Rattus norvegicus: one gene and its partner. The protein of the gene in region 1 interacts with the protein of each later gene in a pairwise test. Links are inferred from orthologs where the notes say so. Each region holds a gene or a part of one and is shown in the gene's direction. Other genes may lie near its edges.

What was found.
Region 2: the proteins of Creb3l1 (region 1) and Fxyd3 interact in binary tests that used the Homo sapiens proteins (3 or more experiments, as listed by UniProt). The two-hybrid records come from large-scale screens. The link is inferred for Rattus norvegicus from reciprocal best matches to the Homo sapiens genes CREB3L1 and FXYD3.

What each region holds. Positions count from the first base shown.
Region 1 is NC_086021.1:98,412,448-98,420,363, reverse strand, and holds part of Creb3l1 (cyclic AMP-responsive element-binding protein 3-like protein 1), read left to right. Parts: intron 1-1,204; coding exon 1,205-1,283; intron 1,284-2,958; coding exon 2,959-3,116; intron 3,117-3,720; coding exon 3,721-3,870; intron 3,871-4,021; coding exon 4,022-4,080; intron 4,081-4,197; coding exon 4,198-4,266; intron 4,267-7,607; coding exon 7,608-7,707; intron 7,708-7,916.
Region 2 is NC_086019.1:95,430,180-95,438,880, reverse strand, and holds the end of Fxyd3 (FXYD domain-containing ion transport regulator 3 precursor), read left to right. Parts: intron 1-2,427; exon of another isoform or gene 2,428-2,571; 5' UTR 2,572-2,583; coding exon 2,584-2,623; intron 2,624-4,162; coding exon 4,163-4,195; intron 4,196-4,277; coding exon 4,278-4,301; intron 4,302-5,006; coding exon 5,007-5,081; intron 5,082-5,163; coding exon 5,164-5,200; intron 5,201-5,584; exon of another isoform or gene 5,585-5,617; coding exon 5,618-5,655; coding exon of another isoform or gene 5,656-5,681; exon of another isoform or gene 5,682-5,786; coding exon 5,787-5,806; 3' UTR 5,807-5,963; downstream 5,964-8,701. Other genes in the region: Lgi4 (leucine-rich repeat LGI family member 4 precursor), read right to left, coding at 7,333-7,647. UniProt on the Homo sapiens protein: Associates with and regulates the activity of the sodium/potassium-transporting ATPase (NKA) which transports Na(+) out of the cell and K(+) into the cell.

The sequences.
Region 1 (7,916 bases):
TAGATGTATATGCAGCAGAGCACTCATACATTAAATAAATAGAATTTAAAAAATAAAAGTAAATAAGTACTAATCTCTAGCCTGGGAGTTTGCTGGCCACCCAGGTTACCTCTTCAGAGTAGGTGGGCATAAGGAAGAAAGGCCACCCTTCCCTGTCCTCAAGGTCAAGGACTAATGACCAGCTTGATCCCCAGAGACTCTAGATCGAGTGCGGCCAAAATCAGAAGGAAGAAGGGGCTGCAGTAGAAAATGAAACAGGATTCTGGGATTAAGCCCTAAATCATGCAGCTGAGCTTGGCCTGTCAGACCCTAGAGCGGAGGACTCCCATTCTGCCAGTGTAGGACACAGAAGACAGGCTGTAACTACCTGAACCCCCAAAGGGCTGCCACCACTCCACACTCCCCTCAGGTCCCCTCAGGTCCCATAGTGCTGCCATTGAGCTGAGTGAAGACCAGGGAATGGCCAAGTTCCTGGACCCCTCTGCTGGCAGCAGACCCAGTGGGGAGAGACAGTCCCAAGAGCCATGCTTTCTCATAGACCACCACTTACATGCATGCTGGTGAAATCCACATGTACAAAACCACACATGTTCCTGAAGCCATAACTAGAACATCACTTTGGAATTTAAATACTTTTTAAAGAATGTACATCTGATTGTACCCAGGCCTAACTTGACGCCCCTCAAGGGTTCTCACTGCTGCAAGCTTCCTGGACTGGGCTCCACTCCCATTTGTAACCCAGGATCCACATGACCTTTCAGCTCCGGCAGCTTTCTTTGAGCTGTGGCCAATTAATTCCTCCTGAACTATTGATCCCATTCATCCAACAGCTACAGTGGGACTAACATGACCTCCTGTGCTCATGGCAACCACATACCAAGGCCTACATGGCTTTCACAGCGAAGGGTCAGCCTCTACCTGGAAGGTGGCACGGCCCTGGATACCGTAGGAACTCTCCCTTCCTGAGACTCAGTTCAGACCTACAGTGTGCAGCCACCATTCTCTCTGATCTTCGCTGTTGTATGGCTTTCCCAAGATGAGGACTTGCCTCTCTGTTCTTGCTGAACTGATCCCAGAACTCCTGAGGCCAGCCATTCCTCTATGCAGGGCAAACCTCCAGCCTAAGGGAGGGAAGAGAGTGAACGCTTGATGGGGATTGTCCCAGGGGCAGGTGATTGAGAAGATGAATCTGTCTCTTCCTCAGGCCCCAGGAGAAATGACTCAGCTGCCAGTGATCAAAGCAGAGCCCCCGGAAATGAGCCAGTTTCTCAAAGTGACACAAGGTAAGTGTGTACATGAGAGAGACTCCTGATCATGGACAGACAGACGGCATCCTACTCCCTCCATCTAGACCACCCCTGTTCTTCAAAACTCCGGCTTCCCCCCAAATGCTCTCACCTTCTCAATCTCTCGCTCCTTGTCTATCACATCCCCTCTCCTTCTTCCATTTCTTCTGGCCTCCTTCCATCCACTCCACAGCGGAAAACACACTTTATAGCCACCACACGTCTTTTCTTCCATCCATATACCCATCCATCCACCCCCTACTCAACTGTTATTTATTTATTTTTTTTAAAGATTTATTTATTTATTATATATAAGTACACTGTAGCTGTCTTCAGATACACCAGAAGAGGGCATCGGATCTCTTTACAGATGGTTGTGAGCCACCATGTGGTTGCTGGGAATTGAACTCATGACCTCTGGAAGAGCAGTCGGGTGCTCTTAACCACTGAGCCATCTCTCCAGCCCTTTTTTTTTTTTTTTTGGTTCTTTTTTTTCAGAGCTGGGGACCGAACCCAGGGCCTTGCGCTTCCTAGGCAAGCGCTCTACCACTGAGCTAAATCCCCAGCCTCAACTGTTATTTTTTATTTTTATTAATTTTTATTTATATAAGTACACTGTAGTTGTCCTCAGACACACCAGAAGAGGGCACCAGATCTCATTACAGATGGTTGTGAGCCACCATGTGGATGCTGGGATTTGAACTCAGGACCTCTGGGAGAGCAGTCAGTGCTCTAAACCATGAGCCATCTCTCCAGCCCTCCCCTACTCAACTATTTACCCATTCACCCACTTACCCATTCACCCACTGTCCATCCATCATCCATCCATCCACCCATCTTTCTATCCATCTATCACCTGTCCATTCATCAATGAATCTGTCACTCCACCACACATCCACTCATTACCACTCACCCTATTACCCTGAGACTGGACCCATACTGTTGACTCAGAGAAAGGAAATGGAAGGACATTGGTCAGCCTGAGCCCCATGGGTCTGGTTTGACCTTAGTCCCCTCTGGACTTACAGAACTGGGACTTTAGAAACCTGAATCCTGTGGGTAGGGAAGCTTGCAGCCCAGAGGCTCCTCCCCAAGGTGGCAGGGGAATTCCTCTGCCCCAGCAGAGATAAGTCTGTCTTAGTCAGGGTTTTACTGCTGTGAATAGACACCATAACCAACACAACTTTTATAAGAACAACATTTAATTGGGGCCGGCTTACAGGATCAGAGGTTCAGTCCATTATCATCAAGGCAGGAGCATTGCAGCATCCAGGCAGGCATGGTGCAGGGGGGGCTGAGAGGCCTACATCTTCATCCGAAGACCTCTAGGAGATTGACTTTCAGGCAGCTAGGAAGAGGGTCTTAAACCTATGCTCACAGTGACACACCTACTCCAGCAAGGCCACACCCATTCCAACAGGGCCATGGCTCCTAATAGTGCCACTCCCTGGGCCAAGCATATATAACCCATCACAGAGGTAGCACTCAGTGAACATCCTTGTGGGTGCCAGGTGTCTTTTTAACACGGCATCTGATATTCCAGCGCAGGTCAAGGGCCTCTCGGTACATTTTCTGCAGTGACAGGGCTGGTCCAGCCTGTGTTCGGCGTTCTCATGATGTTAGAGCAGAGATGGAGTACAGCCCTACTAACCCAGTCCTCTACTTTTTGCAGAGGACCTCGTACAGATGCCTCCAACACCCCCCAGCAGCCATGGCAGTGACAGTGACGGCTCCCAGAGTCCCCGCTCTCTTCCCCCCTCCAGCCCTGTCCGGCCCATGGCCCGCTCCTCCACGGCCATTTCCACCTCTCCGCTCCTCACTGCCCCTCACGTAAGCACCTAGGGATGGGCTGACCCCAGAGGTGAGGTAATGAGTAGGTTCACCCAGTTCCCTGACCAGTGAAGAGGGTCAGGGAGCCCCAAGTCTGATACTTATCCCACCAGATTCAGGGAGGTGCCCGTTTGACAGGTAAGGGGCGTGTTTCAATTCTGCCTCAAGATGAATAGAAATCAAAGGAAAGAGACAAGGTCCAATAGGGCCTAGATGAAACACTGGTATGGAACCAAGATGAGAATCTGACCTTCCTGAGCCCTGGCGAGTAACCTAGGCTATATCCAAGGAGCACTTCTGGGGAGCAAAATGGAGGAGACTCTGAACCCTGAGGAGGTCATGGTTCCTCCTAATTGGAACTGTGGGAAAGGACCTGAGGTGGGTGCTGTCTAGGGGACCCTAGGTAAATGAACTTTGAGACTTGATTCTAGGTTAGGATAGATGAAGGGTCCTCCCAAAACCATTGTAACACTTGACACACGTTACTGGACCTAACTCAGATTCCTCCCCTTTTCCAAGGAGGAAACCGGGGTCAGAGAGTTGAATATGTAGAGAGTACACAGTAGTGCTCGAGTTTGAACCCAGAATTGTCTGCTTTCTTCAGAAACTGCAGGGGACATCAGGGCCACTGCTCTTGACAGAAGAGGAGAAGCGAACTTTGATCGCCGAGGGTTATCCCATCCCCACCAAACTCCCCCTCACCAAGGCTGAGGAGAAGGCCCTGAAGAGAGTGCGCAGGAAAATTAAGAACAAGGTAAGACTGGAGCCATCCTTACCCTAGGACTATGGGGACATTTCCACTGAAGGGAGCCCCTGCCCTCTGGTGATGTCAGCTTTGAAATTGGGGATGCCTAGGAAGGGGATACATGGCCATGGTAACCCCTCTTTTGGAACTTCCTCCTCAGATCTCTGCCCAGGAGAGCCGCCGCAAAAAGAAGGAGTATGTGGAGTGTCTAGAGAAGAAGTAAGTGTCATGTTAAGGCCGGGACCCCAGCCAGAGGCCTGGCTGCAGCAGTGGGATGGCTGTGGGACACATGAGCCTGTGGGGACTCCCTGAGCCTGCGTCTGCTTGCCCTTCCAGGGTGGAGACATATACATCAGAGAACAATGAACTGTGGAAGAAGGTGGAAACCCTAGAGACTGCCAACAGGTGAGTGGTACCCTGTGTCCCACCTGCCCGCTAAAGGCAGCAGCTGGCTCTGGGAGGCAGGAGAGAAAAGAGATACCCCAAAGTGTACCCCACAACCTGGGAGCTCAGATGTCCTGCCAGTCCCTGGCTTCCCGGGTGTCCCTGACTGCACATAACTCTAGACTCCTGACAGGCCGGTAAGATGCTCGAGGAAGACTACAGGGCAGAAACTTTCCAGGTGTGCTCCTCAGCCTCCGCGTTGCCTCCCAGCTTGTGAGAAATGTGTGTTCTCTCTTCCCAGTCACGATCGTGCATGCCTTTCATTCTAGCACTCGGGAGGCAAACGAAGCAGTAAGTTCAAGGCCAGCCTGGGGTACCTACCTAGGGAGCTCCAGGTTAGGCAGGACAGCACAGATAGGCTCTGCCTCAAACAAAGAGAAAGAGAGAGAAAGATGTGCTTCTCAGACCCAGAGCCAGGTCTATTGAGTCATTTACTGCAGAGGTGGGGACCAGCAACCTGTAGATTTTATTTTGTTTTGAGAGACCCTCATAAAATCCAGGCTGGCTTCAGACTTGCTAAGTAGCTGAGGAAAGCCTAGGACTCCTGATTTCTCTACCTCTTCCTCCTAAGTAGTAGGGCTCAGGCGTGTGTCCCTGCACCTGGCTGCCGCCAGCGTTGGTTGGTTGCTTTATGTGCATGACTGTTTTGCCTGTGTGTGTGTGTCTGTGCACCATGTGCATGCAATGCCCATGGAGGCCACAAGAGGGTGTTGGATCCCCTGAAACTAGAGCTCCAGATGGTTATAAGCTATGGATGCTGGGAACTGAACCCAGATCCTCTGGAAGAGTGGCCAGTGCTCCTTACCCTTGAGCCGTTCGTCAGCCACTGCAATCAATGCTTTAGTTATGTCCCTAGAGCAGGTCCCACACTACTAAATCTGATAGCCAGAACCTTTGCTACTCAAAGCCAGTTCCCCATACGGCCTGAGAACTCGTGAGAAATCAGAAATTTCAGGACTTTTCTAAGATTGCTGGGCCAGAACGTGCGTGCGTGCGTGCGTGCGTGCGTGCGTGCACACAGCAGAGTTAAGACACTGGATGTTCTTCACCTTATCATTTGAAACAGGATCTTTCTCTGAATCTGACACTCACCGGTTGGCTGACTAGGCTGGATCTGTGTCCCGTGTCCACTGCCCCCTCCCCCAACACACCAGAGTTAGAGCAACCACACGCAGCCTACCTGCCTACCTTCCTTCTTTCTTTCCTTCCTTTCTCTTTCTTTTTTCTTTTTCTTCTTTTTTTTTTTAAGACAGGGTCTTTCTATTATATAGCTGTGGCAGTCCTGGAAGTTACTAATTCAGACCAGGGTGGCCTCGAACTCACAGAGATCCAGCCACCTCTGCATCCTGAGTGCTGGCATTAAAGGCGTGTGCCACCCTGCCCGGTTCGTGCCTGGCTTTTTTACATGGGTGTTGGGGTTCCAAATTCAGATCCTCATGCTGGGTCAATAGCACTGTACCTGCTAAGCCATCAATCCAGCTCCCAAACTGCATTTTGACAATGCCCTGGATGCCGCCATTGCGTTGAGTCTGAGAAACATTAGTTTCAGGAAACCAGCCTGGGATCTGGCTTGTAGCATCAAACCACAGATTTGGGCTCTGGGTTCTGGGTCCAGTCTGCTATTGTCTATGACTCTACTGTTTCTGGCCAGGCTCTCTGAGCCTCAATATTCTTGGTGACGGTGATGTGACACCAGCACTGGCTAACAGGACTGGTGTGAGGCTCTATAAGATATAGCAACCCAGGGGTTGGGGATTTAGCTCAATGGTAGAGCGCTTGCCTAGCAAGCGCAAGGCCCTGGGTTCGGTCCCCAGCTCCAAAAAAAAAAGAAGAAAAGAAGAAAAAAAAAAGACATAGCAACCCAAACCAACACAGACAACCCAAACCAACACGGCCTGTGGCATTAAAGAACGCCTGCTTGTTGATTTCGCCCCGTTGATAATACTGTTGATTCTAGATAGTGCCCTGAGCTATGAAGCCACACTGTTTTCTAGGAGTAAGTACAATAACACAAACAACAGTATCTAGTGGAATCCTAACACAAGACACTGTCTCCTAGCCATGCTGAGGATTGAACCTAGGACCTTGTACACACCACAAACACCTTCCACTATGCTAGGCTCCCTTTTTGTCTGTTTGCATTTTTTGTAAGTTTTTAGTTAAGTTTATTTATTGAGCGTGTGTGTGTGTGTGTGTGTGTGTGTGTGTGTGTGTGTGTGCGCGCGCGCGCACCATGTTCCTGTGCAGGCTAGATGGCAAATTACAGTAGTCAGTTCTCCCTTTCCACCCTGTAGGTACCAGGGATGGGACTTGGGCTAGCAGGCTTGCTGACAAGTACCTGTAGGCGCTAAGCCATCTCACTGCCCCTGTTACTCTCGAAACTGTTCTCACGTAGCCAGGTTGACCATAAACTCATTATGTGGCTGAAGCTATCCTTGGACTCCTGATTCTCCTTCCCCTCTGACGGCCTGGCCCAATGCAAGGCTTCTTCTAAGTATGCACCACCTAGCCTAACCCGAGCGTCCACTTTTTGGAAACAGGGTTTTTCTGATTGTAGCTCAGTCCTGAACTCGCTATGTATCCAGGCATCCATATTTTCTCCTTTCCGTTCTCAGACCCAGCTTCTCAGGCAGGAATCAGGGTAGGGGCGGAGCCTTCAATCTTCACCTCGCTACCCTTAAAAAAATCTGTTTTAAGACTATTCCGCCACCTGCTGTCCACTTCGGGAACTGCATAACACACACAGCTGGGTGGAGAAGTGCAGTATTAACTGTTAACAAGTGTGTGTTCCCAAAGGATTCCGTGCTGGGTAGTACCTAGTTCTTGCCTTCAGTTAGCAACTGAGACTACCATGGAAGCCCACAAATAAAGCTAACGTGTTACAGGTGTTGTGGTAATGGTAAAACAGCTATAAATTAGCGTAAACAATGACCCATTTACTGACTGCACTCCACACCTCGCCAAGTGTCTTGTGGAATCAGGGTGCTGTGGGGTGCAAAAGAGGAGAGTCAATGTCTCTGTGACTGTACTGGATAGGAAAAAAATCCAGCATTTTCTGAGAAGAGTCAGGAGTAAGAGTTAGGCACCCCTAAGATTCTACAGGATGACCCAACTTCCTACCATGAGGCAGGTCCCAAATAACCAAGCCAGGCTGCAGAAGGTGACCTTTTATATCTTGACTACAATGGGCACCAAAGAATGAAGACCCAGTCAGGAGCCAACCAAGGCTCCTCAGGAGGGGCCAGGATGCAGACATGGCTACTGTGCCTAAGCCCCCATGGTGACTCCTGTACCTTCCTTAGGACCCTGCTCCAGCAGCTGCAGAAACTCCAGACTCTGGTCACCAGCAAGATCTCCAGACCTTACAAGATGGCGGCCACACAGACTGGCACTTGCCTCATGGTAGGTGCTACTCTTTGCACAAAGCCACGGGGGGAAATGCTTCTTGAAGCTAGGACAGTGAGCAGAGCCTGAAGGGACCAGTGACCTGTCCAGGCCAGTTCTAACAGATGTGTGGTTGATGCCACTAAATCTAGTGAAAGGCGGGTCCTTGGGAAAGTGGCTTCTATAGATTCGAGGAGTGCGATTCTTCTTGGAATGGGTGATAGGGA
Region 2 (8,701 bases), on another chromosome or scaffold:
GGGCTGTTTCCGGCCCCCCTCCCAGCCCTAGGGATGACAGGGTCCAGACGGCAGAGGAAGGAAGGAAGGGCTGCAGATGAACCATCTGTCTTCCCCTGCCCTTGTCCAGGTTCCCAAATTTTGGAAGGTTTTGTGGTAATGTGGTCCTTTGGAGGCCTTGGAGGAGTCTGGAGGGAGAAGTGTAGAGGTGAGACCCAGCAGCCATGCTGACAGAGCATGCAGCATTAGGATGAATTGCCAGGTGAGGGCCGTGTGGGATAAGGACAGTACGAGGGAGTCGGCTCCGATTGAGAAAAATGGCTGCACAGGTGGGGCACTCAGCAGGAGCCCTCTGTCAAGGCTGGTGTTTTATATGCATGGGTGACAGAATCAGGAGGCAGCCAGCCTCAGAGCACAGAAATCCATAGCCTGTGCCCCTAACCACCACTTGAGTTCTCCAAAGCTTGCTGGGGCCCCAGACATCTGAGAAATAGTTCCCAAATCAATGACAAGAAATATGTCTAATTTAAACTAATGGGTCCAGGGTGTGCACACATGGGTGCATTCGTGTGTGTGTGTGTGTGTGTATGTGTGTGTGTGTGTGTGTGACAGAGAGAGAGAGAGAGAGAGAGAGAGAGAGAGAGAGAGAGAGAGAGAGAGAGTGTGTGTGTTCAGGGCCTGAAGAGCAGGCTAAGCAAGACTCCATCGCTAGTCCCTCACTGGGGGATTCTAGGCAGGGGCTCTACCACTGAGCCACGCCCCCAGCCCCTTACTGGGGGATTCTAAGCAGGGGCTCTACCACTGAGCTGCATCTCCTTTTTTTTTTTTTTAAACTTTTTCTTTTGTGACAATATCTCACTAAATTGTTCAGTCTGGCCTTGCACTTAGCCTGTATCCCAGGTTGACTTTGAAGTAGAATTTCTTCTGCCTCAGCTTCCCTAGTAGCTTGAGTTAAGCCTGCACTGATTTAGATTAATGAAGAAGCTGAAGGATTTCTCAGCCTCTGGGATCTGCCCCAGGGAAATGGAGGTGTCTGTGTGAGCATGTGGAACTCCCCTGCACCATAGGTGGCTGGTGGCTCCATTTTCCCTTCTAAGTGTGTGCTTTGGTATGAGTGAAAAGGGTTAGTTCTGAAGGGTGACCTTGGGGTTGCTGGGGATTAAAGAGAGGAGTCACTATAAAGTCACTGGACAGTGTCCAGCAAATGGGCAGTGGGGACAAGTGTTAGGATTTGCCACTCAGGCTCCATGAAGGAACAGATCCTGTGTGCCATGTTCCTGGCAGTGATAGTAGGCTTACTGTGAACAGATTTTTCCTTGAAGAGAGGAGGTAGAACAGTGTTTTGCTATGTCCAGGCTGACCTTGAATTTGCCATCCCCCTGCCTCAGCTCTCCAAGGGCTAGGAGATTAAGAGTGTGTGTGTGTGTGTGTGTGTGTGTGTGTGTGTGTGTGTACACGAACTGGCACATGCATGTGCCCATGAGCTCAGGACAGTTGAGTGAGGCAAGCACGGGAGGTCCACAGACAGCAGGACTTTTACTACAGCCCTCCAGGGTGATGGAAAGACAGCAGGTCGCGGCTCAGGCTGTATGGAAAGGGGCTCTATGTGGAGTGAGCCTCGCTGGGGAACCTGTAGTGTTTGCTGCCAGCAGGGCTGGGATGGGGAGTGAGCACAGGCTGAGCAGGGTGAGGGCTGTGGTGTGGGGGCAAAGACTGGACATGAGCTGGGACTCAGAGAATGCTCAGTGGGGCATGCAGAGAGCTCTCAGTGGGACTGCAGAGAGGGCTCAGTGGGGTCTCAAGGGACAGACCCAGGGGTAGGACAGAAGATGGAGATAAGGCCACATCCAGGACTCTCTGTATCTATCCCATCAGCCTGACACTATTTCCCTGTTACACGCACCCGCACCCAGCAGCCCAGGGAGTCAGCTCAGGCCTCAGCTAGAAGCCTGCAGTGTGTGGGCAGAGCCGGGCAGGCTCCAAGCTGTCTGTGGGAGCCACTCCCAGAACCCGGGCCTCTTGCCACCTGGCTCCTGGCACCCTCTTCCCCAAAACACCCCGAGGCCCTTCACAGTTCTTTCTGAGTTAGGAACAGCTAGTTGGGAAAGAGGCATTGTTTAAATCCTGTTCTCTGGACTAAGTCATCCTGGACATCAACTTTCATGTCTCAGAGCCTCAGTTTTCCCATCTGTAAGATGGGGCTAATAAGCAGGATTTGATGGTGCCCACCTATAATCCTAGCTCTTGGACAGCTGAGGCAGGGGGATGGCAAATTCAAGGCTAGCCTGGACATAGCAAAGCACTGTTCTACCTCCTCTCTTCAGGGAAAAATCTATTCACAGTAAGCCTAATATCACTGCCAGGAACATGGCACACAGGACCTCTTCCTTCATGGAGCCTGAGTGCTCACCCAACCCCCACTTGACTTTGAGGCTTCTTATCTCCCAGCCAGTGAGCTTCAGGTTCACCGCCAGCCTTCCTGTGTGTACCCTGGGCTGTGCTCCCGGAGAGCAAGCAGCAGGTGGGACAGAAGTACAAAGCTTTACATCCTGGGTGCCCTGCTAAGGTTGGCCTGTTCTCTGGACTCCTCAGGTCAACGCTGACATGCAAGAGTTTGCTCTGAGCCTGTTGGTCCTTCTAGCAGGTGAGTGTCTGGCCCCAAAATGCCCTTTCCCAGGGCCTCTCAGCTGGGCAGAGACAAGCGCTCTCTCTCTCTCTCTCTCTCTCTCTCTCTCTCTCTCTCTCTCTCTCTCCCTCCCCCCTCCCTCCCTCCCTCCCCTTGCTCTCTCGTTTGAATTCTCACTCTCTTGCTCTCTCTCTCCTCTCTCTCTCTCTCTCTCTCTCTCTCTCAAATTCTCACTCTCTTGCTCTCTCGCTTTCTCTCTCTCTCGCTCTCTCACTCTCTCAGTCTCTCAGTCTCTCGTTCTGTCTCCTATCTCTCATCTCTCCTCTCTCTCTCTCTCTCTCTCTCTCTCTCTCTCTCTCTCTCTGTAGTACTGTTGTGCTATGTGTCATGGCCTCCCCACGCTGCCGTCCCACAAGCAACTGAGAGGCTAGCGGTGACATAACAGGTAACCTGAGTACCTCGTGCCTCTGTTTCCCCATCTGTGAAACACAGAGAAGAATGTCACCTAGTCATAGGGGCTTTGTGAGGCTTAAATGAGTTAATGTTTGAACAGCGATCACCGAGGCCTGGGTGGAGCTGGCCCCAAGCATGTGTGCCTGAGTATAACTAAGCATTGTTTTCCTCCCTTTAGCAGAACTCAGACCCGGAATGAAGCCAGATGAGCTTTCAGCCAGAATTGAGCTCTTCCTCCTTGCTCTTGCCATGCTTTTCTCCTTCCTTAACCTCTTCTTCGTGTGTGTATGACTGTGTGTGTTCTTGTGTGTGCAGCTTTGCATGTGTGTGCATGCTTATGCATGTGGCTGCCAGAGGGTAACTTTGGGTGTGGTTCCTTAGGAGCAAGCCACCTTTTTTTCTTTTCAAATTCTTTATGTGTATGATTGTTTTGCCTGCAAGTCTGTGCTTGGTAACTGTGGAGGCCAGAAGGGGGCGTCAGATCCCCTGGAAGTGGAGTTACAGATGGTTGTGAACCATCATGTGGTTGCTGGGAACTGAACCTGGGTCCTCTGCAAGAGCAGTCGTTGCTCTTAACCACAGAGTCACCTCTCTCCAGAGCCCCCCACCCATTTAGACCACTTTTTACTTTACCATTTTTGGGCCCAAGTAGCCTTCTGTTTGGAAAGGGACGTGGACCTGCATTCAACTGGCTGACTGAGTCATTTCAAAGGGGGAGAGGTCAGAAGACACAATACCTGTGGGGCGTAGCTGTGGTGGGGCCAGCAAGGCATTTTGTGAGCAGCGCTCCTGTGAAAGAAACAGACACTGGAACAGGAGCCATCTGCTGCCTTGAAAAGCAAGGCTTCTCCTGCGGGAGGCGTGGCCCAGCCCGGAGGCTAGAAACACTGTTTCCAGTGCAGTGTTTCAGAGATAGGGGTGGGAGCCCATATCTCCATGAAGGTGCATGTCCAGGTAGGACTAGCCAGAGGTTAGATCCTGTGCACTGTGAGGTGGGGCTGTTCCCCCACAGAGCATTTCTCACAGGCAATGAACCTCCATGGATCCTGCTGAGGGCTCTGCTAAAGCCACCTTAGTCATAACCTTTACTTTTTGTCCCCACAGGCCTGCCTACTTTGGATGCCAATGACCCTGAAGGTGAGCCAGAGCCCATCCTCCACCCCACTTTCCCAAGTCCCCTACTGTCTTAGATTCATGTATGTGTTTTTTCTCTTTGCAGATAAAGATAGCCCTTTCTACTATGGTAAGAACGGAGTCTTCTCTTCACTTCTTTCCCGTCTTGCACAGTATTTGTGCCAAGGGTCCCACGGGAGGATGACTGACAGTTCACAGTGACCCAGGGGTGAGGATAGGAGAGGGTTTGAGTCGGCACTGAGCTCCCAGGTAGGTGAAAGTTATCAGCTTTGAGGAGAAATACAAGACAGGCACAGACACGACCTGAGTCCAGTCCACAGGAGACGTTAGTTTCAGATCAACCACCAGAAAGCTAGACATGAAAATCTTCCCAGAGAAGAAAGGGAATTCTATACCCCAATCCTCCAGCTTCCATCAGGAGCTGCCCCTTGCCCGTCCCCTCTCTTTCTCTATTGGTCCTCACGCCTGTTTCAGCTCAGGATTTTAGCATCTACTACTCCTTCATCCTGCACCATTTTCTTCCATGCCTTCAGGGCCAGCTCTGCCTTCCTGCGGATCTCCTCAGAGAGCCCTTGCCTGACCACTCGTTCTAAAGACCCAGCCTCTTGACTTCCTATCCTCCATACTGATCCTTTCCCTCAGATGGCTTCTCTGCCCCTGGGTGGACACGTGATATCTTGTTCGCTTGGATATGAACTGCAATAGTTGCACAGTGGGGCTGGGTTTTGCTTTTCTGTTTTACTGCTGTCAAGTGAGTTGGGAGATAGGGGAAGGAATTGGGCTACCTTTGAGGTCCCCTTTGTCTCCCTCTCAGATTGGCACAGCCTCCGAGTCGGCGGGCTCATCTGTGCAGGGATTCTCTGTGCCCTGGGCATTATAGTTCTCATGAGTGAGTACTTGGGAGCTCTGGGAGGGAGTGAGCAGGGAAGGGGTTTCCTGTTCTTTCCCCTGACCACGCCTCTTTCCAACAGGTGGCAAGTGCAAATGCAAGTTCAGCCAGAAACCCAGGTGAGATGGGTTCTGGGCATGCTCAAAAAAAGGCTAAGCTGTGGGTTGGGGATTTAGCTCAGTGATAGAACGCTTGCCTAGCAAGCGAAAGGCCCTGGGTTAGGTCCTCAGCTCCAAAATAAATAAATAAATAAATAAATAAATAAATAAATAAATAAATAAATAAATAAATAAATAAGGCTAAGCCTTGTGCAAAGTGCTCAGGCCTGGGTGCTCTGCCCCGGTGTCTCCTGGGCTTATCCATGGCAAATCATCCCGAGAAAGCTGTGGTCCTTACTGGTACACTTAGCTTTGCATAAACGTACAGTGGGAAATCAACCAAGAAACTGTCTGGGCAACCCGAGACTCCTTTAGCCCCTGAGAGAGAGGATAAATAGGAGAGGATTTATTTACATATTATTCCGTTTATTTCCTTAGCCACCGTCCAGGAGATGGGCCACCCCTCATCACACCAGGTATGACACAGGATGATTGGGGGTGACACGTGGGGGTAATGGTCACTAGTGGAAGCTGGAGTGGGAGCGTGCCTGAGTCAGGGAGAAGGAAAGGGGAGATGCTTGCAAACTGACTCCATTCCCTCTACCAGGCTCTGCTCACAACTGCTGAGGATGGATCAGTTAAAAAAGTGCAGGTCCTGTCTCTGGAGATGGGCTTGAACTCCAAGATGTCTGGGCTCCTCCTCTCCTGACACTGCCTTCCCCGAGCCTCATCTCATGGTAGCAGGTTCTTTGTTCAGTTGTTAATATAAAATGATTTTACGTCATGCTCAGGCGAGCCAGAGACTCTGTGTGGAGCTTGGAGTGTGGCTGCCGGCAGCGAGGAGGTGAGCAGATGCTGGGGTGGACCTTGGGGCCTCGATGGGGCAGGTTAATGAGCAGGAGCTGATGGCTGAATCATGCTTAGACCTGCACGTCATGGCCTTATGGTGGGCATGAGATTTGCCCTTTCCCTCCATGGGCAGCCTCCTGTGCCACTTAAGTTCTAGTGGCAAACGAGGGACACTTGCGGGAGTGAAAAAGAGCCCTAATCTCACGCAGTGTAGGGACACTGGGTGACATTGCGAAAAACTACACCGTGGGGTCATCACACCATATTGGGGCCACCCCGATATTTAGCTGTCCCCACCCCTGCAGTTGAGATGACCCCACTTTATCATGAGACCCTTCCATTCACCTGTGAGACCTGTAATTTCTCAGAACACCGCCGATAGTCCAGCAGTGGCCACACTGTGAGATCCTCCACTGACCCCCAGCTCTCTTGAGGCTCCTCAGTATCCATCAGAGCCTCCAGAATCTAAGTGCAATCACAGAAAATGCCTAAAACCTTTCAAACCAAAATTCCTGCCCAAGATCCCATCCAGGGTTTTCACCTGCCACTCAACAAGAGGCTCCCGCCTTGAGACCACAGAGCGGGCAGGTTGGGTGCGCGGGGCATTTATTGAATTCATACACTCCCTGTTCTTGCCCCTGTCACATTCTGGAAAAAGGTACCCAGTGCTCTCTGTGACGCCTCTAGACTTCATCTTCGCTGCTTCACTTTTACTGCACACGTGTAAAAGCAATCAGTCTTCGGAAATAGACATGCGCACGGGCAGCAAAGTACCAGGCATGCGCACAGGCAGCAGAGTACCAGGCCAAGAAACTGCCCAGCAACTGTGACGTCACAGAGACGCATACTCCACGAAACCAATGGCCAGATAGGGTTTGAGTGGAACTAATGCTCTCTCTCGGTTCTTTATATGCAGCAGGACCAAGGGGACGTTGAGGGCGGGGTGTCCAAACCTCTTGGAGCTCAGCAGATTGCCCTTTTAGTTTCTGTATCCCAGCTCCAAGTTGTGTTCCAGGAGGAACTCCCAAGATGTTGTGCATGGGAGCATCTGTCCTCAGCCCAAATGTGGCTTCAGACTGGAGGGGCCCTAAACATAGTTGGGAGTAAAGAGACCTCCCACTTGCCCCTTAGGTACAGATCCTCCGAAAAGTGGACTAAGCCTAACTCAGGCTGATGCACTTGGCTTGTGGTCTGTATCACCCAGGACTGTCTGTGACATCCAGGAGGCCAGCCCAGAGAGGTTACCCAGATGTCCCAGAATGCCCTTGCCAGTCCCATAGCCACTTCCAGGGTCTTTCCCAGCCTCAGGCACTGAGATCCAACTCATGGTGCTGGTAGATCTGCGTGGGCCCCTTGAAGCACGCTGCGAATAAAAAGCGTCTTCCTGCTACAGTGACTTGGCCAAAGGCTCGGGGGGCCACCAAGGCCGGTGGGCCCAGCTCCTGTAGTGGCTCCAGGATCCCTTTATCGGGCTCAAAGCGGAAGACTTGGCTGAAGGCGAAGTCGCTGCCCAGAATGGCCAACTGGTCGCTGGCAATTAGTAGTGGCTGGAAGACATGGGAGCCTCGAGATGGAAGTTGCTGCAGCAGACGGAACATGGAGCCGTCCCAGCGCATGACCTGCAGGATTTGGAAGCTAGTTAGACCCTGGGTCATGAGACGCTAACTGGCCTGTCATTTAACAGGATCCTGTAGGTTCTCCATTTACCCGTAATCCCTCCCCCTTTTTGAGAGTCTTGCTAGCCACGGACTGCTTTCTACCTCAGCCTCCCTGGTACTGAGATGACAGCCTCTGGGCCTCTGTGACACCAACACTATGCCCAGCATCTTTCATAACTTACAGATAACATTTGTCTGCTCGGAACAGGGGCATTGTTCTAGACTTTTCTCTCTGCCTCACATGCCACACAGACTGCCCAGCAATGGTCTGCCAATCTTACTTGTCATACGTTATATGTTTATCCCAACTGTTCTGGTCATACCCTGACCAGCTTCCACCTTCTCCAGCCTGATCCCCGATTCCCGTTCTAATCTCCGTTGCTCCCTCCTGGAGACCCCTTGAATAGTTGAGGTGTGGGGTGTGGGGTGGGGACTTGGAAAAGATAATCCTGAAGGCGATCAGAACCTAACACCAACTCAACCTGTCCCAACAGTAAGGGTGTGGATGGAGTTAACCGTCATCCTGGAATGTTCTAGAGAGACAGGGCCAAGCTTAGCAGAGTAAATTCAGAATCTTGGAGCAGGTCATGTGGGCACGGTCCTGTTGTGCCAGCACAGGGCTGGGGCAGGAGAATTATGAGATTGAAGCCAGCCTGGACTATATATTAAGATCCTAGCTGGGGGTTGGGGATTTAGCTCAGTGGTCGAGCGCTTGCCTAGCAAGCGCAAGGCCCTGGATTCGGTCCGGAAAAAAAACAAAAAAAGATCCTAGCTGAGTCTCTGCCTCATAAAGCCACGGGCTATAGTTTAGCAGGCAAGCTTAGAATTCACCAGTGGCTCAGCTGCTGTGCCTAAGCCTGGAACTCACTAGAAAGCGGCTGGGGGCGTGGCTTAGTGGGGCTTGCTGCTTAGAATTCATCATGGATTAGTTGTGGGTGAGGCTCAATGGTAGAACGCATTCCTGGAATTCACCAATGAGGGGACGTGCTGAAACAGTGGTCCAGCCCCCTGCCAA